3 linked regions of the Zea mays genome follow. The protein of the gene in region 1 interacts with the protein of each later gene in a pairwise test. Links are inferred from orthologs where the notes say so. Each region holds a gene or a part of one and is shown in the gene's direction. Other genes may lie near its edges.

Evidence for each region.
Region 2: the proteins of ct2 (region 1) and guanine nucleotide-binding protein subunit beta interact in binary tests that used the Arabidopsis thaliana proteins (3 or more experiments, as listed by UniProt). The link is inferred for Zea mays from reciprocal best matches to the Arabidopsis thaliana genes GP ALPHA 1 and AGB1.
Region 3: the proteins of ct2 (region 1) and G protein-coupled receptor interact in binary tests that used the Arabidopsis thaliana proteins (3 or more experiments, as listed by UniProt). The link is inferred for Zea mays from reciprocal best matches to the Arabidopsis thaliana genes GP ALPHA 1 and GCR1.

The regions. Positions count from the first base shown.
Region 1 is NC_050096.1:16,620,307-16,631,225, reverse strand, and holds the start of ct2 (Guanine nucleotide-binding protein alpha-1 subunit), read left to right. Parts: upstream 1-5,621; 5' UTR 5,622-5,740; intron 5,741-5,945; 5' UTR 5,946-5,973; coding exon 5,974-6,066; intron 6,067-6,169; coding exon 6,170-6,242; intron 6,243-6,479; coding exon 6,480-6,517; intron 6,518-6,607; coding exon 6,608-6,697; intron 6,698-6,851; coding exon 6,852-6,929; intron 6,930-7,400; coding exon 7,401-7,508; intron 7,509-7,593; coding exon 7,594-7,695; intron 7,696-10,919. UniProt on the Arabidopsis thaliana protein: Exhibits a fast rate of basal nucleotide exchange. Guanine nucleotide-binding proteins (G proteins) are involved as modulators or transducers in various transmembrane signaling systems.
Region 2 is NC_050096.1:264,532,928-264,543,937, reverse strand, and holds the start of guanine nucleotide-binding protein subunit beta, read left to right. Parts: upstream 1-5,706; 5' UTR 5,707-5,921; coding exon 5,922-6,030; intron 6,031-6,134; coding exon 6,135-6,229; intron 6,230-7,764; exon of another isoform or gene 7,765-8,433; coding exon 8,434-8,858; intron 8,859-10,051; coding exon 10,052-10,415; intron 10,416-11,010. UniProt on the Arabidopsis thaliana protein: Guanine nucleotide-binding proteins (G proteins) are involved as a modulator or transducer in various transmembrane signaling systems.
Region 3 is NC_050101.1:119,610,859-119,621,755, forward strand, and holds G protein-coupled receptor, read left to right. Parts: upstream 1-4,431; 5' UTR 4,432-4,517; coding exon 4,518-4,712; intron 4,713-5,824; coding exon 5,825-5,856; intron 5,857-6,187; coding exon 6,188-6,357; intron 6,358-7,469; coding exon 7,470-7,564; intron 7,565-7,867; coding exon 7,868-7,969; intron 7,970-8,101; coding exon 8,102-8,158; intron 8,159-8,491; coding exon 8,492-8,635; intron 8,636-9,205; coding exon 9,206-9,276; intron 9,277-9,417; coding exon 9,418-9,517; 3' UTR 9,518-9,874; downstream 9,875-10,897. UniProt on the Arabidopsis thaliana protein: Together with GPA1, may regulate the cell cycle via a signaling cascade that uses phosphatidylinositol-specific phospholipase C (PI-PLC) as an effector and inositol 1,4,5-trisphosphate(IP(3)) as a second messenger.

The DNA.
Region 1 (10,919 bases):
GTCATTGTCTCCCTTTTGGAAGCCAATGCCATCCTTAATGCCAGGGCGTCTCCCATTATAAAGCATGCTACGAGCAAATTTAAATTTCTCATTTTCTAAGTTGTGCTCGGCAATTTTAGCATCTAGTTTTGCTATATGATCATTTTGTTGTTTAATTAAAGCCATATGATCATGAATAGCATTAACATCAACATCTCTACATCTAGTACAAATAGATATATGCTCAACAATAGATGTAGAGGGTTTGCAAGAATTAAGTTCAACAATCTTAGCATGAAGAATATCATTTTTATCTCTAAGATCGGAAACTGTAACTTTGCAAACATCATAATCTTTAGCCTTAGCAATCAAATTATCATTTTCTACTCTAAGGCTAGCAAGAGAAATATTCAATTCTTCAATCCTAGCAAGCAAATCATCATTATTATTTTTAGGATTGAAAGTTGAAACAATGCAAACATGAGAATCAACCTTAGCATTTAAACTAGCATTTTCATTCCTAAGGTTGTCAATCATCTCACGGCAAGTGCTTAGCTCACTAGATAATTTTTCACATTTTTCTACTTCTAGAGCATAAGCCTTTTTAACCTTAACATGTTTCTTGTTTTCTTTAATTAGACAATCCTCTTGGGAGTCCAAAAGGTCATCCTTTTCATGAATAGCACTAATCAATTCATTTAGTTTTTCTTTTTGCTCCATGTTAAGATTGGCAAAGAGAACACGCAAACTGTCCTCCTCATCACTATTATTATCATCACTAGAAGACTCATATTTAGTGGAGGAGTTAGATTTAACCTTCTTCCGTTTGCCGTCCTTTGCCATGAGGCACTTGTGGCCGACGTTGGGGAAGAGAAGTCCCTTGGTGACGGCGATGTTGGCGGCGTCCTCGTCGTCGGAGGAGTCGCTTGAGCTTTCGTCGGAAACCCACTCCCGACAAACATGGGCATCGCCGCCCTTCTTCTTGTAGTACTTCTTTTTCTCCTTTCTTCTCCCCTTCTTGTCGTCGCCTCGGTCACTGTCACTTGATATAGGACATTTAGCAATAAAATGACCGGGCTTACCACATTTGTAGCAAACCTTTTTGGAGCGGGGCTTGTAGTCTTTCCCCCTCCTTTGTTTGAGGATTTGGCGGAAGCTCTTGATGACGAGCGCCATTTCCTCATTGTCGAGCTTGGAGGCGTCTATAGGTTGTCGACTTGGTGTAGCCTCCTCCTTCTTCTCCTCCGTCGCCTTGAATGCGACGGGTTGAGCTTCGGATGTGGATGGATCATCAAGCTCGTTGATCTTCCTTGAGCCTTCGATCATGCACTCAAAACTTACAAAATTCCCGATAACTTCCTCGGGGGTCATTTTAGTATATCTAGGATTACCACGAATTAATTGAACTTGAGTGGGGTTAAGGAAAATGAGAGATCTTAGAATAACCTTAACCATTTCGTGGTCGTCCCACTTGATGCTTCCGAGGTTTCGCACTTGGTTCACCAAAGTCTTGAGCCGGTTGTACATGTGTTGTGGCTCTTCCCCTTTGCGAAGCCGGAACCGACCGAGCTCCCCTCGATCGTTTCCCGCTTGGTGATCTTGGTGAGCTCATCTCCTTCGTGCGCGGTTTTGAGCACATCCCAAACCTCCTTGGCGCTCTTCAACCCTTGAACTTTGTTATACTCCTCCCTACTTAAAGAGGCGAGGAGTATTGTTGTCGCTTGAGAGTTGAAGTGCTCGATTTGGGCCACCTCATCCTCATCATAGTCTTTATCCCCTACGGATGGTACCTGTGCACCAAACTCACAACATCCCATATACTTTTGTGGAGTGAGGTTAGATGAAATCGCATTAAATCACTCCACCTAGCATAATCTTCACCATCAAAAGTTGGTGGTTTGCCTAATGGGACGGAAAGTAAAGGTGCATTTTTAGAAATGCGAGGGTAATGTAGGGGGATCTTACTAAACTTCTTACGCTCTTGGCGTTTAGAAGTTACGGAGGGCGCATCGGAGTCGGAGGTCGATGTTGATGAAGTGTCGGTCTTGTAGTAGACCACTTTCCTCATCCTTTTGTGCTTGTCCCCTCTCCGATGTGGCTTGTGGGAGGAAGATCTCTCCTTCTTCTCTTTGTGGTGCGAAGAAGATTTCTTCTCCTTCCCTTTGTTGGAGGAGCTCTTCTTCTTCTCCTTCCTCTTGGTGCGGGACTCTTCCGATGAAGTGCTCCCGTGGCTTGTAGTGGGCTTTTCGCCGGTCTCCATCTCCTTCTTGGCGTGATCTCCCGACATCACTTCGAGCGGTTAGGCTCTAATGAAGCACCGAGCTCCGATACCAATTGAAAGTCACCTAGAGGGGGGGTGAATAGGGCGAAACTGAAATTCTCAAAAATAATCACAACTACAAGCCGGGTTAGCGTTAGAAATATAAACGAGTCCGCGAGAGAGGGAGCAAAACAAATTGCAAGCAAATGAAGAGTGTGACACGCGGATTTGTTTTACCGAGGTTCGGTTCTTGCAAACCTACTCCCCGTTGAGGAGGCCACAAAGGCCGGGTCTCTTTCAACCCTTCCCTCTCTCAATCGGTCCCTCGGACCGAGTGAGCTTCTCTTCTCAAATCACTTTGGGAATCAAACTTCCCGCAAGGACCACCACACAATTGGTGCCTCTTGCCTCAATTACAAGTGAGTGTTTGATCACAAGAAAGAATCAAGAAAGAAGGAAGCAATCCAAGCGCAAGAGCTCGAAAGAACACAAACAAATCTCTCTCTCTAGTTACTAGGGCGTTGTGTGGAATATGGAGAGGATTTGATCTCTTTGGTGTGTCTAGAATTGAATGCTAGAGCTCTTGTAGTAGTTGGGAAGTAGAGAACTTGGATGCAATGAATGGTGGGGTGGTTGGGGTATTTATAGCCCCAACCACCAAAAGTGGCCGTTGGGAGGCTGTCTGCTCGATGGCGCACCGGACAGTCCGGTGCACACCGGACAGTCCGGTGCCCCTTGCCACGTCATCACTGCCGTTGGATTCTGACCGTTGGAGCTTCTGACTTGTGGGCCCGCCTGGGTGTCCGGTGCACACCGGACAGGTACTGTTTGCTGTCCGGTGTGCCAGTATGGGCGCGCCTGACTTCTGCGCGCGCAGAGCGCGCATTAAATGCGCGGCAGAGAGCCGTTGGCGCGGAGATAGCCGTTGCTCCGGAGTCGCACCGGACAGTCCGGTGCACACCGGACAGTCCGGTGAATTATAGCGGACTATCCGTTGGAGTTTCCCGAAGCTGGCGAGTTCCTGAGGCCGCTCCTCCTTGGCGCACCGGACACTGTCCGGTGTACACCGGACAGTCCGGTGAACTATAGCGCGAGTGCCTCTGGAAATTCCCGAAGGTGGCGAGTTGGCGTTGGAGTCCTCTGGTGCACCGGTCATGTCCGGTGGTGCACCAGACACTGTCCGGTGTACACCGGACAGTCCGGTGCCCCCAGACCAGAGGTGCCTTCGGTTGGCCCTTTGCTCCTGTGTTGAATCCAAATTTGATCTTTTTATTGGCTGAGTGTGAACCTTTAACACCTGTATAATCTATACACTTGGGCAAACTGGTTAGTCCAATAAATTTGTGTTGGGCAATTCAACCACCAAAATTAATTAGGGACTAGGTGTAAGCCTAATTCCCTTTCACATACTAAAGAGAAAGAGAGACGGTGTTTGGTTGACTGCGCGCACGCACTCGTCAACCCTACGTCCGACGTGAGGAGGGAGTGGGACGACAGGCGGGCGCGAGCGAGCTGGTGGGAGACGCTGCCACTGCCAGTGAGAGCGGGCGGTATCGCGCCGCTCTCATCCACCACTGGAACATGTCCCTGAGCAAGAGATAGTTGAAAGGCAAGCGACGCGTTGGTGGCAACATCACTGGGTGATAGCAAGGGGCGATAGTGAGGTGGCAGTTTCGATTGGTCCACCTGGCCACGTCAGCGCCACATGTGCTAGCGATGTAGCTAGTCGGTTTCGACAAGTACAAAACGTTCGTAAAATTGTGAAAATCACAAATTCCATACCCAATTCATCTATACAAATAACCCCTACCAGGGCAGGCTTTATAACACCCCGTTAATTCCTGGACCGGCGGTACTTACTTCTAGCAGCTCTCTAGGATCATATATTGTCCTCACAGACCAACACGAGTCTTTTGTGCTCATTTTGTCCTCACTCGTGCGCACCCGAGAAAACTTTCCGGTCGGTTATCCATCCAAAATTGCTCCAAGCCAAACACGCTTAACTTGGAGGTTCTTTCGAGACATCTTTCGAAAAAGAAGATGTACCTTGTTGGTATGGATACTCTATTAATTGTATTAAGCCTTGGGCCAGGATATCACAATCCACCCCCCTTAGAAGACCGGCGTCCTCGTCGGTCAACTCTAATCCAGGAATCTCTCCTCTTAGTCACGTCTGTGTGTCTAGTGTCGTCATATGCCATGCCATGTGACCACTCTGGGCCCACATGCGCCATATACCCGACCCCCTAGCCCACACACGCCCGTGAAACCTCGAGGGTCGGCTCTGATACCACTTGTAACACTGCGTCCAATCCCTGGACCGGCGGTACTTACTCCTAACAGCTCTCTAGGATCATATATTGTCCCTACAGACCAACACGAGTCTTTTGTGCGTACTTTGTCCTCACTCGTGCGCATCCGAGAAAACTTTCCGGTCGGTCACCATCCAAAATTGCTCCAAGTCAAACACGCTTAACTTGGAGGTTTTTTCGAGACAGACTTCTGAAAAAAGAAGATGCACCTTGTTGGTATGGATACTTTATTAATTTTATTAAGCCTTGGGCCAGGATATCACCATCTCAGGGGCCAGGATATCACAAATTTTTATTTCAATAAAAATAGTATGTTGTGTGGTTTTTTAGCGTTGACATAAATCTACGTGAATTACTTAATTCTGAAATAGAAAACCCCGATGTGGTTGTGGGTTTAGGGTATAGCCTGTTGCAGACTATGCACTTGAACAATAAGGTCAAGAGTGCAGTCTGGAGCTGACGTGGTAGAGCAAGAGGGGATGGTGCACTGACACCCGCCTAAGCAAAAGTTTCCTTTCAATTTGTAGCAAACCAATATGTTCAACGTGATCCCTATGGTGTGTTTGGTTGAAGAGTTAACTAGAATGTGACAGTTTTATTTCAAAGAATGGAGCCATTATGTCCTATGTTTGGCAAGCAGAATATATGTGTTTCATTTTTTTTGTCTGGTTAAAGAGTAAAATATTCTTTGTTTGGTTAGAGATGCATATGATTAGGGAGGGAACGAGGGGGAGAGTCCTCCCGTCCAAAAGAGCGCTCCTATCCGATTATTTTGGTGGAAAAAACATTCTAATTATTTATGATACATTTTTACCTATAGACTTTATGAGCCGTTTTATTTCTGTTCCATTAAAAACTAAACACCCAGAAAAAAAAACACCTCCTCGTTCCATTCTCGTCCGTTTCTCGACCAAACACGCTCTCTCTCGGCAGCGATGCGAGAACGTGCCTTTCCTTCTCGCTTTCACTGGTACCAGGTGGCGACCATACAGCACGGAACTCCAGTTCACCGCTGCCTTTCTTCTACTGTTCACCCCGCGTGCGCTCGCTCACTCGCTCTCTCCCCTCTGGCTCTGAGTGGCGCTAGTGGGCGACCGCCGCCGCGTCCCTCCGTCAGGTGCCCAGGTGTAGCCTCGTCAGCCCCTCCGTCAGGTCTTCGTCGGCCCCCTCGCCGACGAGCACCCACCAGGTACGCGCACCCCCCTCTTCTTCGCTTGCTTCCGTGCGGAACCGAGCACCCGAACCCTAACCTAAGCTATTTGCGTATTTGTATTCGGATCTGATCTGATCTAATTGCAAGCTTATAAATGTACCATGCTCTAACTTCGTGTTTTTGCAAACATTATTGGGCGTACATGTGTACACCCATGTCCTTTACTATATCCGCTCCCCAGCCAGGCATGAGAGCGCGCTTCTAGAATAATGTCTGTGCTTACCTGCGTGATTGAAAGCATGGGCTCATCCTGTAGCAGATCCCATTCTTTCGACGAGGCTGAAGCAGCTGAAAATGCAAAGGTAACTTGTCACTTAGACCAGGCTGATGCTATCAGGAGGTTATGATTTTGTGTTGGTAAGCAGCAACACTTGGTTCCTTCTGACATTAGCAGTGTGGGTGCAGTCTGCAGACATTGACCGGAGGATTTTGCAAGAAACAAAAGCCGAACAACACATCCACAAGCTCTTACTTCTCGGTAATGCCAACTTACTTGAACTTAAGAGCTTTTTTTTCTTCTTCATGTGAAGTATATCTGTTCTGTAGTTTTCTCTCTTGATAGTTTGCTGGATCAGCCAAAAGAACTGTTGCGAAGTTGATCCCTAGTCACTTCTCTTTCCATGCATTCTAGACTTGATAATGTGCCTGTCCATTGATAAGGTACTTTGCCTGTATTCCTAACAGTCATCCTCCTTTTCAATCACTTCTTTGTAAGGTGCTGGAGAATCGGGGAAGTCTACAATATTTAAACAAGTAAGGTTTATGCCACTCCCTAGAGGATCATAATTCTTATGTCATCATCAAGACAGCAAGTCACGGATGTGTCTTACCGCTCATTCGCAGATAAAGCTTCTTTTCCAAACTGGCTTTGACGAGGCAGAGCTTAGGAGCTACACATCAGTCATCCATGCTAATGTGTATCAGACAATTAAAGTATGCTATACTAAAAAGGGTGTGTCTTTTTTTTTCTATCACGTTGTAGAGATGATTATGTAGGAAGGTTTCGTTATGGAGTTTCTTGCTGCTCCAATGAGGGTGTATTTGCAGATATTTTTTCTCAGTAAATGAGTTAAACATGCACACGCAGATATTATATGAGGGAGCTAAAGAGTTAGCCCAAGTGGAACCAGATTCTTCAAAATATGTCTTATCTCCAGATAATCAGGTTTGCACACTTGCCTTCAGAAATTAGAGTTAAGTTTTGGCAAACTTGGTTATTTTGCAATGTAATTGTCCTGGTGTGGTCCTGACACAATTGCTATGGTTGAACCTGCCTGGAGCTGTTATAATCCAAACTGCCTTATTATGCTTTGCACGATTACATGCTAACAAAATGAGCATTTGATCAGAGAAGGCAGCTAGGAACCTTGCCCCTACATTTTATTGCTTCAGAGAAGGCAGCTTTAGATTTGCTCAAATATTTGTTGTCTCAAATGTTTATTATGCAGTATTCATCTATGTCAAGTTATGAGCATTTGCTTTGTTTGTAGTTATGAGGTTAAATAGTTAACAAATCTCATCTTGGTAGACGTTGCAATGCGTTTATTAGCTCTTAGAAGCTTCTCATAGCACACCACACACATTTTTACTTAATTACCTTTTGTATATTTGTATTGTAACTTTATTATTAATTCAGGAGATTGGAGAAAAACTATCAGAAATTGGTGCCAGATTGGAATACCCATCGTTGAACAAAGAACGTGTACAGGATGTAAGAAAACTATGGCAAGATCCAGCCATTCAGGTGAAATTCCATTTACTTTGATTTTTTTTAAAAAATGTATAAACTTTTAAACATAAAGTTTGATCATTTAGAAATTCATTTGTAGGAAACTTATTCACGTGGGAGTATTCTGCAAGTCCCAGACTGTGCACAGTACTTCATGGAAAATTTGGACAAATTATCTGAAGAAGATTATGTACCGACAAAGGTACACAATTATCCTCAATCTATTTTTAGGAGAGATTTTACATATGCGTTTTACAATGTCACATATTTCATGTTGATTGTCATGGTACTGAAATCTACCTTTTGAGGCTATCAGATAGCAGCAGAACGAGAACCTAGATTAACTATGAAATATTTCTTTTGAAGACCTTAGGAGATCATTAGTTAAATTAGAGTATATTATGCATGTTAGAGTATATTAGGCAACTCCTGATATGGTTGGTTTAGGATTGATTATAATCCTGGGATAACCTTCCTTACATCTGGGATAACCTTTCTTATCTCTAGGATAGGCTTTTTGCCCTCCAAGTCATGTACTCCTATATATTCTCCCTAGAGGCTCAATGCAATACATCCCACACATTATACACATTCTCTCCTTCCTTCAAAATATTCAGTAAGGAAACACATATTATACCTTGCATATAACAAGGCAGAATCGTCATGCCCAGTTGCAGTGCGTCAAGGAAAAAAAACTACTAAACTGCACAGTGTTATTAAAACTACGTTTAAATGATGCTTAAACTACGTTTAAACGTCAAAACTCTAATTAGAGGTTAAAACCACGTTTTAGCGTTTTGGCGTTCTAAACTGTAAAACGCAGTGTTTTATGCATTTTAGACCATTAGCTACTTTTGGGCCCAGTCTATTAGTTACTTTTGGGGTTCAATCCAGCTCATGGGTGAAGTTTTGGTAAGCCACTAACCTCTCTGTTTTGGTATATAACTTCATATTATTGTCTGAAATTATGATGTATTGGTATCTTTCCTATGTTGTTTAAAACTACGTTTAAAAGTCAAAATTTCACCCATGAACGTTCTAACGTTTTATCGTTTTAATAACCTTGAAACTGCAATATATCGGGCTTAATTTTATCTGAGTCTCTCAGGCCTCAAGCTCTTGAGTTTCCATGTGGTCCTCTACCAGAAACTTTTCTTTGCTGAAAAGACTTCCGATTCCTTTGTCAACTTCCATAACATAAGCTTGGTCACACTAGCCAAGTTATTTTTCTTCAGCAATGATGTTCCCTCCTCTCAAGCAAATAAAGGTGGTGTTAAATTATATTTATGTATTTGAATAATAGTAGCACATTAGGAACAGCCTCTAAAGTGATAGTATATGCTGCGGAGGATTCAAAAACACAGCCCCCGCGTCGTCCTCCGCTCGGGCGACACGGGTGGCCCCTAAACCCTAGCGTCGCCACCCCCTTCCCCTCCCTCCCCCTCGTCGTCGCCGGAGGAGTCTACCCGAAGTCGGCGCGGGCCCCAAGGATGGCGGTGGCGGGGCGTTCTTCCTTCGATTGGTCTCCCCGTGCTCAAATCTGAGGTCTGAGTGGGTTTCTGTGTCGGGCGGTTTAGTCGCGGCGCAGCAGTAGGCGGGCTCGCGTAGTGGCGGCGTCTAGGCAGTCAAGGTCCCCGCGCGGGTGTGGCGCTGTGCGTGCGGCCTCGTGGCTTGGCCACGTTCCGGCGCTCCGCGATCTCGACCACTGTCTCTAGGACGGCAGCGGAAGGATGGCAGAGGGAGGTGCTGGCAGCAGGCTGTTCTAGGCGCCAGTGGTTCTGTCTCTGTACTGGCAGATCCTTCAGGCGGTTTTCTCGCCAGTGCTGCCGCTGGGGCTCACGGTGCGGCTGGCAGAGAAGGCAGAGTGTCGAGCCTTCTTCCTCTTCGGTGCCGAGGACAAGTCGCTCCACTTCTTCCGGGACCTCGTCGTGGCTGGGCATCACACGCTTGGTCCTCAACAGCGGTCGCCTCCTGTTGTGAGACGATTGAGGAGCGTAGAGCTTGTCTCCTCGCACTGCCAGGACGCCGGATCGGGGAAGAAGCGTTGCCAACCAACGGCGTGCGGAGCTCGGAGGCTGAGAGGTGTTGGGGCGGTGATGGCTGCGGTCTGGTCCTACGATGGTGCTCCGAGGTTGGGTGGCTCGACAGCGTCCAAGTGTGTGTCGGTTTGGGGCGACGGTGGACTAGCGGGGTGGCCCCAGCGGCGCCTGCTGTGGTGCGCGCGCCAAGATCTGCCATGTCGCGGTTGCTGCTGTCAAGTCGGGCCGACGGAGGGTGCAGCACCAGGTGCTGTTGGAGGCGAGTTGTGTGGCACTCGTGCTCGATGTCTGCTGGCTTCGGTGGCCGCGTCTGCCGGTATTGGCTCCGGCGTGCGTCGGTGTGTCGCATGCGACATGGTGGTGCTCGGTTCCGTGTGCCCAACCGGAGGGGGGGTGGCCGACGCAGCTTTGTGGCTGCTGCGAAGTCGACGCGTCGCTGCCCCTCTGGAGGGGTTTGTGTGGGTTGTTAGATCAACGATGACGACAGAGGTTGCTTGCTTTGATCCGGGGTCTTGGCCTGACGTTGTGCTGGGGGACTTCTTGGGTGAAAGTCTCGGCGACGGTGGCACCCGCGGGCTTCGCTTTCCCTGTTGAGGGCTTTGCATTCCCCAGCACTATCTTCCTTGGGCGAAAGCCCGGTCCATCTCGGACATGCGACGGTGCGTCCGTGATGTCACTCCCTCCCTGAAGGCGTCGCTGTTGAAGTTTTGTCTCGACCATGGTGTTGCCTTTCGGTTGATGCTTTTGCTTCTCGGCGTTCGGTATGCGGGTGAAGGTTTGGTGTTGCAGCGTGAAGTCGAAGCTGCTACGTCAGTGGATGTGGCTCGACAACGATGACGTGAGGCGAAATCCCCCTTCTTCATTGACAGGATTGCGTCGAAGGTTGGGCATATGCCTGGGGCAGGGCGGAGGATCAAGATTGGAAGTCAAGTTGGTGAAGAATCGGAGTTGTATCACGTGAGGTATCTTGATGCTTGGCAACGACGGCGCACTGCGGTCTTCCTTCTTCTGTGTCGGAGTTTGGGTGTAGACATCATCAGGTTTTTCTTTGGCCTTAGGTTGTCCGTCTTGGGGAGTCGAAGCTGCTCGTTCTTTGTGTTGAGCTCGGCAACGATGACTCTGGATGGGCTTTGTGTGTGGGGCTGCTGCTGTCTAGGTTGCTTGTGCACCCTGTGTAGGTTTTGGGCCCGGTTTTCCTTAAAATTGGGCCAATTCCACTCTTCCTCTTAATTGAGAGGTAGAGCTCCTGCCATTACGTTAAAAAAGGAACAACCTCTAAAGTAACATGGAATCATCTCGTTCGTGATCTGTCATGATACTCTTTGTGGATATTTTCCTAAAGGCATTTCTTGATCGATCATATATGCTACTTGTGTAATATTTTTTT
Region 2 (11,010 bases), about 250 Mb from region 1:
ATGAACAAAGTGTAAATCACAAGTAAAGGTATGTTTCTAAGCCTTAGTACATTAGTTTTGTGTACTAACATCTTGTCTAAGTGTTAGAAACAGGAGAAAGAAGAAAAGAAAAGAAGTGGAGAGTGGCTGTGTACAGCCAAAGGCTGCTTCGGGCTGGGGCACCGGACTGTCCGGTGTGCACCGGACAGTGTCCGGTGCGCCAGACCAGCGCAGCGCAAACCAGCCGCTCTCGGGTTTTTCTCCGGCGACTTCGGCTAAAATTCACCGGACTGTCCGGTGTGCACCGGACTGTTCGGTGAGCCAACGGTCGGCTGGGCCAACGGTCGGCCGCGCGATCGGCGCGCGACACGTGGCCGAGCCAACGGTCGGAAAGATACACCGGACTGTCCGGTGTGCACCGGACATGTCCGGTGCGCCAACTGTGCGCAGATCTGACTCAGACAGCAACGGTCGGATGCGCTGTTTAAGGAAACAAATCGGGCACCGGACAGTGTCCGGTGTGCACTGGACTGTCCGGTGCGCCCGACGACAGAAGGCAAGGATAGCCTTCCAGATGTGTTCTCAACGGCTCCTAGCTGCCTTGGGGCTATAAAAGGGACCCCTTGGCGCATGGAGAAGAATACCAAGCATTCCTTGAGCACTCTTGATCACTCACACATCAATCTCGCGCACTTGTTCGACATTCTAGTGATTTGAGCTCCGTTCTAGTGTGCTAGTCTTTTGAGCTCAAGTCTGGGTCTTGTGTGTGCGTATTCGCTGTGATCTTTGTGTCGTGTGTGAGTTGCTAATCCCTCCCTTGCTCTATGATTCTCTGTGAACATCTTTTGTAAGGGCGAGAGGCTCCAAGTTGTGGAGATTCCTCGCAAACGGGATTGAGAAAAGAAAAGAAAGAACACCGTGGTATTCAAGTTGATCATTGGATCACTTGAGAGGAGTTGAGTGCAACTCTCGTCCGTTGGGACGCCACAACGTGGAGTAGGCAAGTTTTGTACTTGGCCGAACCACGGGATAACCACCGTGTCAACTCTGTGATTGCTTTCTTGTGGTTATTGTGTTTTGACTCCTCTCTAGCCACTTGGCATAAACTGTGCTAACGCCTAATCAAGTTTTGTGGTTATAAGTTTAAGTTTTTACAGGATCACCTATTCACCCCCCCCTCTAGGTGCTCTCAGCCTCTCCTTTATGGCAATTGATGCCAAAGGGGGAGAGAAGTGATGAGAAGAGAAGTTGTCTGGCGTCTCCTTCAGGGGGAGTTGGTGGTTCTATGTGGACATTAAGACCATGCATATGCATTTTACCTTTTCATGCCGCTTGCATTAGTTTATGTCTTACGCATTTGGAACTGGTTTGAACTGTTAACTCTATGTCGTATGTATGTGGACTATTATCTGTAATATTCTGTGGGATGAACTATGTTTTAGTTCAAATTACTCTGTGTGTGGTTAATCGAGGAGTGATTATAATTGCTGCGCTCACTCTACGGATCATCTCTTGTATGCCTCGATAACCATGATTGTAGGAAAGTCTCCATCAAACTCCAATATATTATGTGTGTTATATCTTCAGCTTCAAATAATCCTGCACACACTTAGGGGGAGCCTTTCTTATATACTGAGTTTTTATTGGGATTTATCTATCTCTCGGACAGAACTTCAAATCAAGATAAGTCCTATGAAACTCATCTCCAAGATCTATCTTATACCTTAGGTATGAGGGAGATTTGGAAAAACTAAACTTCTCTTTAATATATTATGTAGTGTTGTCATCAATTACCAAAAAGGGGGAGATTGTGAATCATCTAGGCCCCTTTGGTAATGTTTTGGTAATTAATGACAACTGCTTGTGGACTAACGATTCTAAGAGAAATAAGAATGCAGGGTTGGACCACATAGAACAGGAAATGTTGAAGAATCATACGCATTGGTTGTGAATCAGATGAAGGAAAAGGTATAATATAGGTTTCATTTTTGCCGGTCTTGAAGAGTTTAGAGAAGATACCTGACCGGATTAGTAGGCTAGATAGCCGTACTATTAAGAGGGTTCAATGACTTAGATCTGTGTAAAACTTAGTGCCTCATAGAGCATCAAGTAGTTGCATTTGCATGAGGACTAACAGCGCTTCACATTTCGTAAGTTAAAAGTTCTTTCAAAAGCATGTTTGAAAATTGCGAAGTCATGGACGCGCGGACTGTCCGGGCCTTGGGGGCGGACCGTCCGCGATCCTCCAGAGGGGGTCCGAAGTCTGACCACTTGTGTGGATACCTTGTTCTATTGCACTGCGGACCGTCCGGGCTTTAGGGCCGGACCGTCCGCAGTCATAACCAGAGAAGGGTGGCTTCGGGCAGTCCCTGAATTATAGGCGGACGGTCCGGCTGTGATGGGCGGACGGTCCGCAAGTGTCAAACTCGTTTTTGGACAGGGACTGTGTGTTTTTGTAGATTTGTACTACGGACTGTCCGGGGGACCAGTCCGGACAGTACTGTCTCAGGTCTCGGACCGTCCGGGATTTATAGCCGGACGGTCCGCGTGTGTTAACTTCTCTTGATCCGAGGCTCGGGTGTTTCAAGCTGCCAGGTCGCGGACGGTCCGGCCTTGAAGGGCGAACTGTCCGGACCCACCTTTTTGTGTCAGCTCTGACATGTTTCAAACGGTCATTATAGCCGTTATATGTACGGCGGACCGTCCGGCCCTAGGGCGCGGACGGTCCGCGTGTGCGCAGAACTGCTGCCTTTTGCACATAACGGTTGGATTTTGATGGGGGACTATAAATAGAAGGGTAGCTCGTGTGAGAGAGCTCTCTTGGCCATTCCTTGCACACATTGAGCTCATTTGTGATCCTCCAACTCACTCTCTCACACTCTTTGCTTGAGATTGCATTCTAGTGAGAGATTGAGGGTTCCTAGTGCATTTGCATCATTTGGTGATTCTTGAGGCACTAGGTGGTACACCGAGCAAGCGTCATTGGCTTGTTACTCTTGGAGGTTGCCGCCTCCTAGACGGCTCGGGTGATTGTCTCCGTCGAGCTCTCCAAGAAGATTGTGGAGAAGCCGCGGTGTTGATTGTGAGGGGTTCGCGCCTACCTCGCCGGAGCGGCAAAGGTGACATTAGTGGAATCGAGGTATTGAGTGATTTCTTGTCCACTTGGCTCAAAGATCAAGTTGTGTCTTGATAGAGGAGCAAGTGAGAGCTTGAAGTCCACCTCAACGTGGATTAGGGGTGATCGGCAAATCACCGATACCACGAGATAAATTTCGGTGTCTATACCTTCTCGCATTACTTATTGCCTTGCAATTGATTAGTCATTTGCTTATTGTTCTTCAAGTATTCAATCTCCGTAGTTGTTTTTCATACATTGTTTACTTATTGTCACTAGAGAATTTATTCCTCTTGTTGTATTGATTAAATTTATTTAGTATTTTTTATTTTAGTCAAAACCGTCTATTCACCCCCCCTCTAGCCGGTGTCCTAGATCCTACAGAGGCGGAGACCACCTTCCGAGGTCGAGGTTGAGGCCGAGCCCTGGGGTCGGGCGAGGCGGAGACCACCTTCCGAGGCCGAGGCGGGGGCCGAGCCCTGGGGTCGGGCGAGGCAGAGACTTCTCTTGAGGCCGAGGCCCAAGGTCGGGCGAGGCGGAGCTTCCTGTGGCGCCTGAGGCTAGACTCAGCTGCTGTCAGCCTCACCCTAGCGGGTGGCACAGTAGTCGGAGAGGGGCGAGCGGCGCTGTTTTCCTGTCAGGTCAGTCAGTGGGAGGGCGAAGTGACTGCGGACTTCGACCTTGCCGACTGAGGCGCGCGTGTCACGATAAGATGCCAGGCGATCCTTGCATTGAATGCGCCTGCGATACGGTCGGTTGGTCAAACGATTTGGCCAAGGTTGCTTCACTACGAAGCCTGCCCGAGCTGGGCTTCGGGCGAGTCGAGGGTGCGCCCGTTGCTTGAGGAGGCCCTCGGGCGAGGCGTGAATTCGCCTGGGACTACAGTTTCCGCCCGAGGCTGGGCTCGGGCAAGGCGAGACCATGTCCCTTGAAGCCTTGACCTGAATTGTGCCCATCAGTTTCTGCAGTTTGCGCTGATGGTGATTACCAGCCGAGTTTAGGAGTGTTGGGGGTACCCCTAATTATGGTAACCGACAGGACTGCATCGATCCCTAGGCTACAGAAGCCAGGGTCGACATAGCCGCAATGATGGTGTCTGGGACCATCGTCGTCCCCGCGAGTACGCATGGACTCCCCCGGGGTAAAACATTGGTTTTACTCTGCCTTACAACTCCTTCCCATAGAAGTCAGTAAGTCACCGTTGGTCGACCCCTAACCCCGCCTGTAAAAAGGGAGAGACTGGTCTCTACGCAAGGGGATTGAGAAGAAATGAATAGAAGGACACTTGGAGACGACCGAACGCCGTCATAAGGAGACGAACTCACAAGGACGGATAAGAGGAAGAGCGTCGACGAGGACCAGGAGGCCGGAGCCCCACCAAGCCAAGACTTAGCTAGGACTCCACCTCTTAGCTTCTAAAGCTCCACTTCCACCCGGTAAAGAGATCATGGAGTCTCTCCTCCCTCTCTCGACTGCTTGTAACCCATACTACGCGTTTGATTATCAATGGAGCCGGTAGCGCAAGCCACCGATGACTAGATGTAGGGACGTTCTGACCAAACCAGTATAAATCTTGCGCCCTCCGCGCACACCCTCTGGAGCTCAGAACACACACAATAAATTTACTTGTCGGAGCGAGATACAAAACACCGACACTAGTGATCAACTTCATAAAATTCACAAAGACCCTCAAATGGTGCTTCACAAACATTGCTTTCATACTTTCTCACGAAGTTGCACGAAAATTAACCACCATGTCACTCGTTATATAACATACCACTTCGGTTCTCTCGTGACACACAAATCAATTGTATTACAAATACCTCTTCGGTTCTCTCGTGACACACAAATCAATTGTATTACAGACACTGGAGTTTATGTGTAGACCAAACACTTCTCGAATCCACCTCAACAATTTATTAGAGTTGTTTTATGGTGAATCTGGAAAACCGAAGCTAAAGTTATTGAAGTGAAGCTCTATTAAATAGACCCTTATTAAAAAAAAGCAAAGTCAGCTTTCAACTACTTACCAGGAATATAGGGTTCGATTATTTGGCCTTCAATATGTTAAACCAAAAAACGGGGAAGACATGATTTTCGTTATTATTTAGCGTGCTACTAAAATTTTCCAATCTCCGTATACTCCCTCCGTCCTCCCTCCGTCACAGAATATAAGGCGTAATTTTTTTTCTTGTTCCATAATATAAAGCATGCTCTATCTATATATACGTACATCGATATAGTAATATATAAAATTAAATATAAGTTACCTTATATAATGGACGGAGGGAATAATTTACTAAATTTATAACGATTTTTTATCTAACTTTAGCTCATCAATCTTTACCGTGTCAAAATTTAGTGCCAAGAAGCAGACATGGCCCGATGATCTTTTACCCTGTTTTCATAGCTCGCGAGCCGCGACCTGTGTCCAACCTCAACGGTCACTGCAGTCCCAGCACCTCAGCAGCCTGCGCCTGCCATACCCCCTCCCCCACCCACCCACACACACCATCCGGGCCCACGGTGGGACCCAGATGTCATGCGCTGTACGGGCGAGCAACTAGCCCCCACCTCTTCCCAAGAGGCAAAACCTGCCCCAACCTCCCTCACACTTTGTCAGTTTGCCGTCGCTGTCGGCGCCGCCGCCTGTCCTAATCTCCTCTGAGTCCAGCGGCCACCTCCTCCACCGGGAGCTCCCCGTACCATAACCGCAGTCCGCAGCCATTGGAATTTCCGCTTCATGCGTGGATCCTCGTAGACCCCGACCCGCGTGCACTCAATCCCTAGGCGGCGGCCTCCGGCGCGAGGCTAGCGGGCGGCACCCATGGCGTCCGTGGCGGAGCTCAAGGAGAAGCACGCCGCAGCTACGGCGTCGGTGAACTCCCTGCGCGAGCGCCTCCGCCAGCGCCGGGAGACGCTCCTCGACACCGACGGTGAGGCATCCCTCCCCCCTCCTCGTCGGGAACCCTCTCGTGAGGTTCGGGGAATTCGCGTGCATTTGCTGACTTCTATGTGTGCGCTCGACTGCGCGGTGCAGTGGCGAGGTACTCCAAGTCGCAGGGGAGGGTGCCGGTGAGCTTCAACCCTACGGATCTGGTCTGCTGCCGCACGCTGCAGGGCCATAGCGGAAAGGTTGTTGACTTTGGTCTCTCACCTCCATTTCGGCACAACTTTTGCGACTTTTCCCTTAGTTTCCGTTTGCTCGTGTGCAATTGAAAGTGTGAGATGGTTGGGACCCTTTTTTTATTTTCATTTGCGATTGTGGAATTTGGAAATTGGAGTCGCTAGTGCTAGCAATTTCTACCTGCGATGTTGTTCGTCGTGAGTAATAAGTAATAGTGTAAATTGTAATACTAACTGGTCAATAGGATCGCCTCCATGGTGCGTGCTTGTTGACATGGATGGCGTTTTGTTGGTCCTGGACGTGGCTCCTTGTGATGTACCTTCAGCCTCAATCCCTCAACTTCCTTTGGATATTTTAAAAGATTTCGCCTAATTTACCAGGGTTTAGCACCATTCAAGTTTCTCTAGACAGTAGACACAGTATTGTTGATTACAGAGAGGTCGACTTGTGGTTTGGGAATTGGGAATTATAGGTTGGATGCACGTTACAAGGTTATTGGTTCAAAATTTGAAGGCCCTTGCACGTTTAAGGGGACAGAGTTTGTAAGTGCTCAATTAACTTTGTCCTGTAGAAAGTGTATCATCAGATTCATCCAGCAAGCAAGGTACTACTAATTTATAAAACTGTTATGGGCGTTTTGCAGCATTTGGCCACAAAATGGTTCTTAACTATATTAATTTGGCATTGCATCCGTAATTATATAAGCCTTACTGTGACAGAATGTGTAGTAACTGGTAAGGTTAAATCGGAGTGCAATTTGGTCTATGAGAATTTTTAAGTGAGCCATATAGAACTTTGAAAACTGCAAGTGCAGGGTTCACGGATCAAGGTTTGTAAACATTTATCAACAACTGGAATGGGTCCATCAGACCATCAGTATGTAAGTTTTGTCATGTATGATTTTACTTTCTTCAAGCATACCAGGCTAATCTTACCAAGCGAATAGAATTTTGGGTACTTTGCATTATGTAGGCACAGCTTGGCTCTGGTTACAGTAAATTAACACCATATGGTTGTGCCTAATCAGATAATATTATCTTCAGGCAGAATACATCTTTATGTTGAATCAAAGTGTGAATCTGAATTTTGATAACCATAGGTCGCTATAATAAGATTTAAAATATTAGCGAGCAATGAGGGCACTTCATATCCATTCTTTCCATAACCCCGAGGGAAAAAGCCAACTCTAGTACTTAACCATCAACTATACAAGAGAGAATCAATGGTACAACTGGATATGTATTAAGCTGGGCGATCATCATTCAGTTGAAGTAATTATTGGTGCTGTAACTGGTGATAACACGGAGTGTCTTCCATAGAAAAGGTTCCTTTTTGTTACAAATATATAGTTCAACATATTTCACGTAGTGCATTCATATGATCACTATATCACTTACATGTTATTGGTTGAAAACCAATTGTAGTTGTAGAATGGATTGTGGATAAACTGGTAGCTTTCATTTATCAGAGTGATAAGTTTGCTTCATTATATGTTTGTTTTTTCCTCAAAGATGATTAATATATGATAATTACATGGAGCCAGACTGCCAGAGTAATGAAGAAGAAAATGATACCGTTGCGAGGTTGATGTTTGAGCTGTGGGACAGGATTATCTGCATGTACATTCTGTTGCAGAGATACTTAGCGCTGCATGGATCTGTCACTGAAATATTATTCGATAATTGGTAGCTAGAGGTACAAGTAAACAATTCTGCAATTCTACTATATGAGGGGGGATAATGATTATTTCTAGGGGGCAAGTCAAATCATCATTGTAAAAGGGAAATCATTCTTTCTCTTCAGAAGCAAGCTAACAAGGATTATATCATCCCATTATTTTGGTGGCACTTGGCAGCCTTCTTTTGCCCTAGCTTTGATAAAAGGGGCCTGGGGAAGGGATAAACCGAGGCAAGCCTCCTCCCTGCTGCTAAAAATTAGGATCTTCCAGATTTATTGCCATTTAACTAGAGTATTTTTTTGTGAGGGCCATTTAACTAGAGCAGAACACCTCATCATGTTGCTAAAGTTATGAAAACTTTTGGAGACATGGACTTCCACCTGTTCGAAGATGCATAATTGCATATATTTGGATTTTGCGGTGATTCTTGGAAATTCAGCACTTCAGCTATCTGTGTAGGGTACTACTTGCAAAATTGCTGCATCAAATGGTTTAGTGGTATTCTATTAACTCCTAAGTCATCAATCATCACAGGTATATTCTCTGGATTGGACCCCTGAAAAGAATTGGATAGTCAGTGCCTCTCAAGATGGAAGGTTAATTGTGTGGAATGCATTGACAAGCCAGAAAACACATGCCATAAAGCTGCATTGCCCATGGGTTATGGCGTGTGCTTTTGCACCCAATGGCCAATCTGTCGCCTGTGGTGGTCTTGATAGTGCGTGCTCTATTTTCAATCTCAATTCTCAAGCAGACAGAGATGGGAACATGCCAGTATCAAGAATTCTTACTGGACACAAGGGCTATGTCTCATCATGTCAATATGTCCCAGATCAGGAAACACGTCTTATTACTAGTTCAGGTGATCAAACATGTGTTCTTTGGGATGTTACTACTGGACAGAGGATATCAATATTTGGTGGTGAATTCCCATCAGGGCATACAGCTGATGTTCAAAGGTAATTGGTAGTGCTTCTGATTTTTTGAAGACTGAATATTTTAGTGCCATGTGTAGCGCTTCTGATTTCTCTCCTCAAAGTTAATTGGTATCTTCTCATTTGTACATTTTTAACTTAGGCTGGTGCACACTAGGTTGCTAGCTTTACCAATATGTCAATGTTCGATGATCAAATTATCCCTATTGCTTCTAAAGTTTTCTTTGTAAACTGAATATTATTCATGTGGATTTGAATAAAGTTTACCTACAATGACTGGTTTGTATTTGTCTGCTGTTACAGTTGGACAATGAAAACGTACTTTTTAGTACTGAATGTAATTTTAGTAATAACAAGTACTCCTTCCATTCCAAATTGTTGGTATTTTAGTTTGTCATAAATCAAACTTCTCTATTTGTGCAGCAGTTCTAGTTACCCAAAACACTGTTTTGCACTGTAGACTCTACTATTCACAGAGTAGAGTTTGACTATGAGTATGGGTATGGGTAAACTGCTGGAGATAGCCTTAGGTAACTGTGTGTGTATTCTCTCCTGTAATGGGCTTTGGCCCACATACTCTGCTATACTAATACATTCCCAACCCACATTAGGGTTAGGGTTTCAGTGCATTTAACACTATTTACTAAGTTTATTGAAAATGCACCAATATCTACAATATCAGATTAGTTTCATTGATCCACCATGAGATATGACTTGGTAGTGCATTTTTCCACTCTCTGACCCAAATTATAGGTCGTTTTGGCTTTTCAATTTTTGCTATATAGCTAGATATACAATATGTCTAAATACATAATAGAGGTTATGTATCTACAAAATCCAAAACAACCTATAAATTGAAATGGATGGAGTATTTGGTATTGTGTGCGCATGTGCGTGCTTGTTGGACCGGAGGTGGAGTGGTAAGGTCTTCACATGGTAGCACAGTAGGCATTTGGATAACACTCTTGCCTAAGATTGCTGATATTACATCACTTATTATGGATGCAATTGCCCTAGTACAATTGGGCACTACTTACCAACTAGTCTAGCAGACGCATGTGCAAAATATGTTGTCTATGCAGCAAATACATGAACCAAAGTAACATATGGTAGCACATTTATGTTGCGTTTTTTAACTGAAAGTGCTGGTTTATCAGGTTATCATTGATATTTGGAGTTTGGTTTTGAATTCTCTGACCTTTCCCTTTCTTGTTCAGTGTGTCCATCAACTCATCAAATACAAATATGTTTGTCTCTGGCTCATGTGATACAACTGTGAGGCTGTGGGATATCAGAATTGCAAGTCGAGCTGTTCGAACCTACCATGGACATGAGGATGATGTTAACAGTGTGAAGTTTTTCCCTGATGGCCATAGGTTTGGTACTGGCTCAGATGATGGCACATGTAGATTATTTGATATGAGAACAGGGCATCAACTTCAGGTGTACAGTAGGGAGCCTGATAGAAATAGTAATGAACTACCTACTGTTACATCTATTGCATTTTCAATATCAGGAAGGCTACTTTTTGCTGGTTACTCCAATGGTGACTGTTATGTGTGGGACACACTTCTCGCCGAGGTTTGCATTTTTACCATTTACCATGGATTGAATACAGCTTATTTTATATTACAAAGGAAAACTAATGCCCATAATCAACAAGTTACTGGTACACTTTACTGTTTCGCCACGGTTTTCTTAATCGAGAAAAATATGACATACAGTTCACTTGGTGTGAGCCACATAAATTCAATGTTAGGCAATCAGTTAACACTAGTGATATAATCTTTATGTTAGATAAGCATAACTCCATTGCCAGTCAGTAGCAATATAAGCATACAAATGCGAAATCTAGCCACGGGAGAAAGCAATGGAATATGATGAACTAACTGCCTAAATTTTTATTTGAAATGCTCCTCAGCAACTATTGCAATTGCATGAATTGATGTTTGCATTGGACCCAGGACCTCATGAATAAGTAACCTAGCCTCGGTTCCTTCCATATTAGTCCACATATATCATCAACCTAGACTAGGCAGGTCATGCATACAAATTTAGAGGATGCTGCTGCAGATCACCTTGTATTGTATCAAGAGATTCCTAGTTAGTGCTATATGCCAAGAGGTTTAGAACGTTGGTTTTGATTTAGGCCAACTTAATGGATAATTGTATACCT
Region 3 (10,897 bases), on another chromosome or scaffold:
CCGTCGTTTCCCAAAAACGAAAGATTCATTGTTCCGTATTCCCAGCACAATGATATTGCGCGCATTGCTAGGAACTTCATCATTAAGATGAACCTCTTCGTGAGGCAAATCATCATCAGGGTGAATTAATCGGAGGAGAGTTATCACAGACCACGTGAATCTGCAATCAGAACATATGCTTTGACTAAGGCCGATGGATCATATCCGCAGGCGTCCCCGCAGAATAGATTAAATGCCAATAAGTCAAATGTGGATATGATATTAATCCCGGGTATATCCACATCTACATTAGGTAGAAGCATTCAAACCAATATTGTTACTCCTCAACGATTTCTGGCAAACTCCATATACACAGGAGTACACTCCGAACGACGGGTTCAGTTTGGCTTTTGTGCGTTTAATAGAATATTGAGGCATTACACTATATGGACATTCCTCCCCCTAATGACGAGATGTTCTAAAAGCATACAGATAAAATCCCCAACCATAATCATCTAGTTTGTGGCCAATGTATGCTATTGTGGTGATTTATTTGGGAAATCTTACGCACATTACAGATAGGGGTTTTATGCAGTGAGCTTTGGACTTAGATTGATGTAGTGGCATGAATACTACATATTTGTCCTTCAACGTGAAGGATTAGTCTCAACTTCTAGCAAGACACGCAACAACAAGTCGCTTTGTGGTTACAATTCTGCAAACTTACTGTTATTATCACCAAATATACATTCAATCATCAGGATTTAGACTGATACGCGCAACAATATGTTAGCCATAAAAACAAAAAAACTTTAGGGCTCATGCACACCATTTGTCGTTTGGAGCAAGTAGTTGACTTCAGATCAACAAGGACAATGACCATCAGGTCTAGCGCTCACAAGAACATTCATTGGTTGCATTGTGCTTTCAAGCACATAGGAGAGTTTGCGCATATATAATGGTGGTAAAGTGCACGGTATCCGGCCAATACTGCCAAGCAGAGATTTTTATATGCAGAGATGTATAGTCCAGCTCGTTTTTATCATTGCCCATGGGTTACCCAATTACTCATACCATTCTGAAATTGAGTATCGATTTATGCAACATTTTTAGGTATTATAATTTTGAGAGAGAACTTGTAACAATAGCCAATTATTTGTGATATAAGCTGCCAGCGGGACAAACTTTTCTCCTCATATTATATACCAATTTGTTCTATAAATCATTATTTCGATCTCTTCGTTGTTCGTCAAAAAGAGAAGCTTTGGAATAGAACAGACAAGGCCAAGAATTCATTTTATCTGGGAAAATCACCATATAACTAGCTTTTGATGAAGCAAATGATGATAACTGCTTGGCAAGAATGAAATAGGACCGGTATCTGCCTAGGATCCATCTTCAACAACAGATAGTACTGCTCTCATACGAAGAAATCATCAGGAGTAGAGAGGATACAATAGGTCTCCACAAGATCTTCATATTTGTATCACAAATTATCATCACTAGTAGTCTAGTGGTCAAGACATATGACTCTTCTGGCTCCGAGGACCAAGAATATGTTAATGTCTAATTTAGCTTCAAGCTCTGTGGTGATGTGAGATTTCATAGTTATTTGTCTACTCTTCTCACTTCTGGTAGATCGGAGGTAGATAATGGTAAGCATGCCAAAGGGTGGAATTCAGTGTAGTTCGGCTACATAAACCCCAGGTATGTGTCCATTCAGGACCGACCTTTACCATTTAGCTTACAGTGTATACCAAATTGTCAAAGGACTATCCCGAGTCAATTCAGTGACTATAAGTATTTACAATTCCGAGAGATGTATGCGACACAAGCATAGAGGTCCTAGATAGAACGAATAAAGTGGTTCGACGGGAACACACTATAGTTTTCACACCAACATAGTGAAAATTTTCTCAGAATAACCTCTCGGTATACTCGCAACTTCGTGTTGCTGGCGATTACATGTCCTTTTAACTCATGTTTGCTTCATGTCATTCAGCGACAAAGAGAGCAATGTGCTAACATCTGGTTGAGCAATGTATGACTGAGATTTATAGTCTTAAATCATTTGGTAAGGCCTTTTGCTTACTAATAGAATCCCAATTTGTGATGTCTTCTATGCCAAAAAGGCTTTCATGCATTATATTATATATCTTCGGGTTACTTCGGGTAAAACTTTATGCATGAGGAGAGAGCAAAGAATTAACTTATCTATGTTTCATTATATTTCAATTTAATTTCCCAGATTATTCAAGCACTATAGAGCTTGATATAGTTGTTATGGCCACTTGGCGATATATAAATATATAATGCCACACAACACAGTCAAATAAAATATAGAGCCAAACAAAATTGTTTATGAAGGTTGCGTATAATGTGACTTCAGGGGCTTGAATAACCCACCACAATCCACACGAGTACAAGCTCTAGTGTCTGGTGTCAACGCGTGTGTGGCCATCAGGGCTACGACAACACAGCCAGCCTTCGTAATTAACGCAACAAGCACAATTATGGCTCGGTAATCGGGGTACACGATAAGTCCACGTAATGTGCGCAACAGGCGCAATTGTGACTCGATGATCACGGGAGACAGACAGTGCCTGCAGGGCATGCGAAAAATACGCGACTCGGCAATGGCGGTCCGACTCAACGGGAGCGATCCGACTAAGCAAGAGTGCGACATAGCAATCACATGACGCAACCAAGTTCGAACGACATAAATACTATGACGTGTTGCCAGGGCGCAGCCAATGTTTAGCCAATGTCTTAATTCAGCCGATTAATAATGTAACCTGATCGCCACATCTGTGTACCCACTATACCATTTAATCGCTCGGCGTGAGTCTGAAGCTCAACGCAACACAAATATTTAGAGCAATTTAAGTATGAACAATATAGATTTTACATGCATTTTAATAATTTTCTGCTAAATATCCGCTACGAGAAATAAAAGCAGAAAAATAGACACCAAAATTATTGCATGAGCATAACACATCAGGTGTAAAAAGCATTTTCCATATTTAAATATGTATTTTTCTACTAATTATTTACTGCCGGAAATAATTAATTAAAATAGAAATTGTAACATAAAATATGCTTTATTCTACTTGTTATTTACAACAGGAAATAAATAGAATAAATAATATAGAGCATGTATTTTTTACTAATATTTATTGTAGAAAATAATTACTTAGAGTAGGAACCGTAACATAAAATCTGTTTTATTCAGGTATAACTGAACCCAACTGAACTAGTCCACGATTCTGGTTCTCATTTTTTCATCACGAAGAAAAGAAATCTAAAAAGGACCCACAAAAGCTGGAGGCGTTGACTCCACTTCATTAATCTTACATGCCCGTCTTTAATCTTGCATGCACGTCCGGATGGGCAAGGGCGCAAGGCTCCAGGCCTCCAGCCATGCAGTTGCATGTATGTGCCATTACTTCCATGCGCCATCACATACATGCACCATCACGAGTTCACGGCAGCATGCAAGCAAGTCAGTGGCCCCACCTGTATCTATCGTAGGAGCAATTAGCGGAGTCAAGTTCGCGGTCAGTAACTGCCTGCATGGACGATCCACTCCTCTCTGCGCGTGTGACGCACGATCGAGGCCCGCCAGCGAGGTAGCCAGGATGCCCGCAGCGGAGGCGCATTGAGCAGCGGGCCCACGCGACGCAGTAGGATCAGCGGTGCGCGACGTCAGGTCAGTGCAGCGCGCTAGGCGGATTGTTGCATGGGCACGTTCTTTGGAACCCACCAGAGATTGTGGAGCAGCAAGGACTCCCACCGAAACAAACATGAGAGCAGGAAGTTCCGCTAGGTGAGATCCTATGAACAGTAGATCTAAAAAAATACCGTTCGATTGCGTAGAGGGTAATCGAAGTCTGTCGCGTAGGACAGTTCGGCTAGGCCGGTGACCTGCCGGCTCGATGAAGAGTTGATGCAGATCTGATCCCGCAGCAACGTGGAGGTAGAGCGTGCTGATAACGTGTTGAAAACTACGTTACCACGGATCACCAGATCCGCTTCCTTCCCTCCCGTCAGCAGTAGAGGTGCAAGAAGCTGTAGAGAACCCGTCTCCCTTCCCATAAGCACGACAGAGGAAACACACGATACACATGATATAGGGTTGGGCCTCTGGCCTCTTTCTGATCTCTGTATTATGAGGGGTGTACAGGTACCTTATATAGAGATGTGAGACCCCTCAGGAGCAAAGCAGGTATTTGCCTATATAACCCTAACTAGGGTTACTTAACACTTCTATCATATTGTGGGTTTAAAGCTTATCTGTTGCCCTGCTTTTTAACATTCATTTTAGGCTGAATTGATTTTGAAGAAATGTAAGGATTTTTTTTTAAAAAAAGATAACGCAGGAGGCCAACTACCGAGGAAAGCCCAGATAATTACACACTAGCTTCACGGTGAAGGCAGTCGGGGTCACAATTCACAACTCCCAACCCAATCCAGCCCAGCAATCAACAATTCCCCCGGTCGTTTTCACTTGACATCCCCCGTCCCATAGATCGCCGGCGATGGCTCCGGCCGTTGCCGCGGCGGCGTCGGCGGCGATGAGGCAGGCACTGCGGGACCGGCAGATCCTCGATGCCGTGGGCACTGGCGCTGCGGCGCTCTCGCTGGCAGGCTCCTCCTTCATCGTGATCTGCTACCTCCTCTTCCGCGAGCTCCGCAAGTTCTCCTTCAAGCTCGTCTTCTACCTAGCCGTCTCGGTGAGTGGCCTGCTCGAACTTAGATGCTTTTCAAGGGTTTTCGGGTTTGAGCCGCTAGTTGTGCGATGTATCGTGGCTGTTATTTCAAAAATAGCCATGAATAACCACAGAGCCGCTAGGTGTTAGCCTTCAGTGTCATTGAAAATAGTCGTTCATGGCTAGCAAGGAAAATGGTCATTCATCACACACCCTTAGTTTAGAAGAGGTGTGAGTTAATTTTATGCATATTAGATGCATTAGTTCTCCACTTCTCCAGAATCTGGTGTCATCAGTAAGCAGGGAACTGGACCTTCAGAAATGTGCATACCATCGTCAATTTTCACCTACGAGGTAGATTTCAACAGTTGTGTGATAACCTTAGTCTAGTGCCGTCATAGCACATACTGTACATGTTTTACACTTGGATTTGGATTTTGTTTGAAACACCATTCCAATTCCAGTGGTTAAAGTATGACACTAAGATATTTAAGGGGTATTTGGCATCGCTCGAGAGCAAAACTCCAAGAGAAACTGGCCAGAGCTAGCCAATACCTTAACTCTAGAGTTATAAACTCCATAGAGTTTTGAGGCTGCAGTATTCTTAAAAAGCAACCTATACATGGAGTTTGAAGGTATTTATCCACCACTGGCACTTATGAGAAAGCAATCTAGACTCCAGAGCACAGTTGCTCCACCTAGAGTTTTGAAGCAGAGTTGCTTTAGAGTGGAGCAGAGTTATGCCAAACACCCCCTTGAAGTCTTGAGTCTATGATTTGTTGCAGGGACACATGTGCTCTGCCTCCAATTGGATAGTGCCTACTGCCTAGATCACTAGATGGGAATGGGAGCATATTTTTCATACATATAGTTCAGAGTTCATTCTTAAATATGGAATCAGCTGGTGTCATATTACTTATTTTGTTGAATATTGAAACCAATGGCCATAATAAGCACCTAGTTAACTAGTTCATCACTTGACAACTAGTTTGTTTTTGAGAAAAAGGAAAAAAAATGATGTTACATGTCTAGTTGCTTAGCTGACACATAGAAACATTAGCTGAAGCTTGGTTTGTTCATTATTGCTATTGCTCTAGCTGTTTCATGTTTTATGATAACTTTGTTGTCAATTGCAGGATATGTTTTGCAGCTTATTCACTATATTGGGGTATGTTGCATTTCTTCTCCTACACATAAATACTTCCTCAGTTTCATGCTCAGTGTTAATTTACTTTTGCTATTAACAGCCTACCAGAATGAAGATATGCAGAATCAGTTATGCTTATTATTCAATTCATGGCCAAGTAATTTGAACCTTACCCTTGTATTCTGCTTACTAAGAAATATCAATGCCAGTATTAAAACAGAATAATTGTTTTTTTTGTTTAAGAAAAACACACCAGACTATTCTTTCTCTCATTTGTCTCTGTGTCTGAATGCATATTTTGGTTATGTGCTCATGGTAAAACATTTCTTAACGATGTTTTCTTATGTTGCAGGGGGCCATCGAATGCATTTTACTGCTTTGCACATGACTACAGTGCTCATTTCTTCTGTGTGGCTTCTTTTCTATGGACAACCACCATATCATTCACTCTGCATCGCACAGTTGTAAAACACAAAACTGATGTTGAAGAATTTGGATCTATTTTCCACTTATATGTGTGGGGTATGCAAACTGTCGATTACATATTTGCCTTTGTTTGAATTTATATTTTCCAAATTAAGTAACATTTTGGACAAGTTAGAGAACAGTTTCTGGAGAGACCTTGTGTTGAAAGAAATAACAAATTTTTATCCATATGATTCAGTGTTCTTGACAAAAGCTAAAATTGTCCATACCATTTATTTATGTTTGATGTATTGTGTTGCAACTGTTTGATAACACATAGGTTATAATGTCCCTTAGAATTTTTTTAGATTCAATGTGTGTACTTATTTTCATCAGTTTCTTCTGTTACTTTTGGGTCCTTCTGTGCCGTGTAAGAAGCCAATCTTGCAAGTTCCAATCCATTTACCTGTCCATAATCTGCACCTGTGTCTATAACTGTTGAATTTATTTAATTGTTAATATGTTTAGGCCTCATTTGGTAGAGCTCCGCTCCATGATTCTCTAGCTCCGAGAGCTAATTCTCCAATAGAGTGATTCCAAATAATTCTCAAGTAGAAGTGAATCTATTTGACGAAAACCGTTTGGCAAATTGTGCGTGAAGTGATTCATGAGAGGTTAGAGTGTGGGGAGCAGGTTGGGAGCAACGGGAAGCATGTTTTTTTGGCTTCCACTCTCTAGTATAAAATGGAGACTAAATTCACTTCACTCTCACCATGGAGCAATTCAGTTTCTAGCCACTTGGCTTTCTAGAAGTGATTCTCGCTGGGAGCAGAGCTGTGGGAGCTCTGCCAAACGCCCTAGTATCTCAGGCTATAGATTCTGTTTCCAATTTGATTGTCCCATCCCTGGATATTTTGTTGCAGATCAGCATGCTCAAATGGTCCATTGTTTTCATTGTTGTTGCCTTTATCTGCATTTTCATGTATATGTTTCTTTTAGTTTTACAGTTTGGTTGCATCATCTTATTTTGGGACCAATATGTAGCTGTTCTCTCTTATGTCTGTTTCGAATCTTTTTATCTGATGTACTGTAGGTAGGCATACTCCATTTTTAACAGTAGGTCACTATTTTAATGATTTACTTTGGAAGCCATGTGTCAATATGTCACTGTGCCAGCTATAAAAAACAGTTATAAATGGTTTTGAGTTTTTATTTATTTATTTCTCCAGGAACTTCACTATCTACCACTGTATTACGTTCGATAGGAAGTGACTACGGAAGACCAGGCACCTGGTGCTGGATTCAGCAGGGAAGCATGGCAAAGGCATGTGATCTTTTGTGTTGTTTTAGTTTTTTCCTTGATTATTACACAAACATTAGTAGTATGTGCCACTTCTTCGAGAGTTATGTTAAGTGAAGTTCGGTTTATTACGTTAAAGACAATTTTTGTATAAGCTCATCTATGTTTGAATTCTAAGGGAGTTTTATACAATTTATATGGAATTTCCAACATATTTTTCTTGGACTATGAAAAGTCACTATCCTCAGCTAGACAATGAATTTAAACTGAAATTCCAATTTTGTCACCAGAATAGAAATTCTTTCACTAAATTGACCTTACTTGCAGGTCCTACATTTAATAACCTTTTATCTTCCACTTTGGGGTGCCATTTTGTACAATGGGTTTACATACTATGAAGTAAACCGCATGCTGAATAATGCAACGCAGGTTAGCAGACTTTTTCTCAACAATTCTCCCGTGTACATTGAAGGTTACTGTGATCTTTATTGTGAACTATTTGGCACATTCTGCTAATTTTTCTTGCATGTTCTGAATTTTAAAAATCTCATGATTTTTTAGATGGCTGCTGGCATAAGTGATCAATCAAATCAGTCTGACATTAGGGCAGGCAGGAAGGTACGAAATCCTCAACAAATATTTGGCGTTGTTTCTGCTTCAGTGCTTCTGCTGGAGTATTTTCCCCTTTCCTATTGATTGTTATCGACATCCTTTTTTACTTCCCAAGATAGCTTACATGCTCTCGTAAATTTTATACATCCGGGATTGTAGATAAACTAACAGACAATATGCCAGCTCCTTTGATGAAAACATGTTATCGAGTGTGCTCAACCTTCTCTATCATGTTCCCTTCCTGTCCTAATTACCTCTATACAGACAGCTCTTCGTTATATGCAAAAACAAGTGGATAAAAGTTTATTTGAGCCACACACGATTGCTTGTTTTTTGCAGGCATTTAACCGATGGGGTTATTACCCTCTAATTCTAATCGGTTCATGGGCGTTTGCAACTATCAATCGTCTTTATGACTTTGCCAATCCAGGGCACAGGATAGTCTGGCTCTCGTTTCTTGATGTTGGGTTCGCTGGACTTATGGTGAGTCTATTAATGCTTGTTTTTTTATACTAAATTGCTGAAATAGCATACCATGAACTTTTCTATAAAAACTCAGGCTACCTACATATGGTGGGCATAATTTATAGTAAAGGGGCTTGAATAAGAGGCCTCCACATTGCTTCATTTTTTTCTCCTGTCCCTGCAAGTAATTAGCTCTGAATGAGTGAATGGGAAGGCTAAAGGTCTGACCACTCTTGTGCTTTTCTTATGGAAATGGGTACATGAAATATATGTGTGTCTTCAATCCTTCATTATCATAAGCAATACTTCCTCCACCTTCTAGCTTTCTTCCAGATGCACCAATTATAAGTCCATGATAACTATAATGCACCTTTTTGCTTTGTTCTTCCATGCCTACCCCTACTTAAATGCACACATCCATTTATTTTTCCTATATTGGATATGAAGTTATTCATGTAAGTGTTTTGTTTGATTGACACCAAACTATATTCCATGGTTCGCTTCTCTCTCTCTCTCTCTGTCTCTCTCTCTCTCTTTTTTTTTTTTGTGTGTGTGTGTGGATATTTTGACGTTTCCTGTTTTATCTAGGGCCTATTCAATTCCATTGCTTATGGGCTAAACTCTTCTGTGCGCCGAGCTATTGCAGAGAGAATCGACACGTAAGTTTTAATCTGCAACATAGTCGCAACCATACGTTTCTTCATCGCTATGCATTTATTTACTGTAAGCATTCTAGTTATGCCGCTATTCAGAAAGTACTGTGTAGCTATATATAATTTTTTTTCTTCTAAATTTCCCAGGTTCCTACCTGAGAGAATAAAAAGGAGCCTCCCTGCTTTGTCAAGGCTGAGGAGTCAACAGGAAAATGAACTCACTTCTCTTATCGTTGAGGGTAACTGATATGTAATGGAATTTCCATGCACACGAAGCCTTTTTTTTGTTTATCTGTTCGTTCTTCAATCTCCAACAAGGGAATGCAACATCACTGTAAGAGCAGTGGGTTAGTAACACGTCGAATTGGTTCCGCTGTGTCCATTGTTGATCGTCTTAACACGAGACCTGGGGTTTGGGGTTCACCGCTCCCGCTCCGGCCGGAGTACATAGGAGGGCTAGAGTAGGAACAGTCGGTAGATAGACTGATGTTCATCTGTAGCTAGGTAAGCAGAGTTTGTTTGTTCAGATGTACGAGTATAACCACCTGTGTATAATGCACATTCTAGCGCCACATGGTTGCAAATTTTCAGTTCCCCCCCCCCCCCCCCCCCCCCTTACCATTTGTTCTGGTAAGGGAATTTTTGTGTGCTTTTGAGAACTATATACTTGATCTTTCTATGTAGCATTCAATTGATTGTTGTAGTCGGTGATGGCCAGAACTCAGAAGCACTGGAGCTTGCGTGCTCAACTGAGATGACGTGCACTTCTAGGCAGCATCCCTCCAACGATGTTCTCAGCTTTTGTCTTCTCCAGACTCCAGAAATGTTTATGCGCGTGATCTCTGTCAAATATCGAGGGCCGCATCATGGCTCTCCATTGCGATTTTCACTATATTATTCCGAAGCGGTCTGACTGCCTCTGTGTATTGCCTAGGTCTGGAAAATCCGCTCGGCTCGGTGGCTTAGCGAGATAGACTCGGTTTGGCTCGATAGCATTGTGACTTGTGAGTTAAGAGATTAGGCTCGGCTCGGACTATTTTAGGTGCCAACAACTCCTACTAGTAGCTTTGTTGTCGGCCTGGCTGGAACGACACGCTGTTAACGATAACCACGCCACTGATTCGCCGTATGTGTGTTAACGGACATGACGTGGCGTAGACGTACGTCGTATGGTGTACAGTACTTCTGTTTCACCATTTTTTTATTACTACAGGTTTCCTGCTGCTTTCGTTCCCAGTGTTTTAATTTGGCTGTGCTATACTTATGTCACAGTGAGATGGATTCTTGAATAATCCAAAACTAACAGCGTCGTCCCCAAGAGCTTCCAAAACAAACTCTCGATTTCAGAACTTTTGGGGACTTCAAAACGAGCATCTGTAACTTTCGACCTTAGCTCGTTTGACACTCGACCTTGTGCGCAGGAAAACACGCGCTACTAGAAAGTCTCGATCGGGGGGGGGGGGGGGGGGCGGCATTCTTGTCCGTCACGTACGGGTCACGGCTCTGCACTGGCGCGTAAACGAACGTCGTGCTCGTGCATGCTGGCAGGTGACATCACGCGGAGGTGGCCAACGTACGAGTGCGTCGAGGTTGCAACGCTTTTTTTTATATATATTAGGAGTTGATG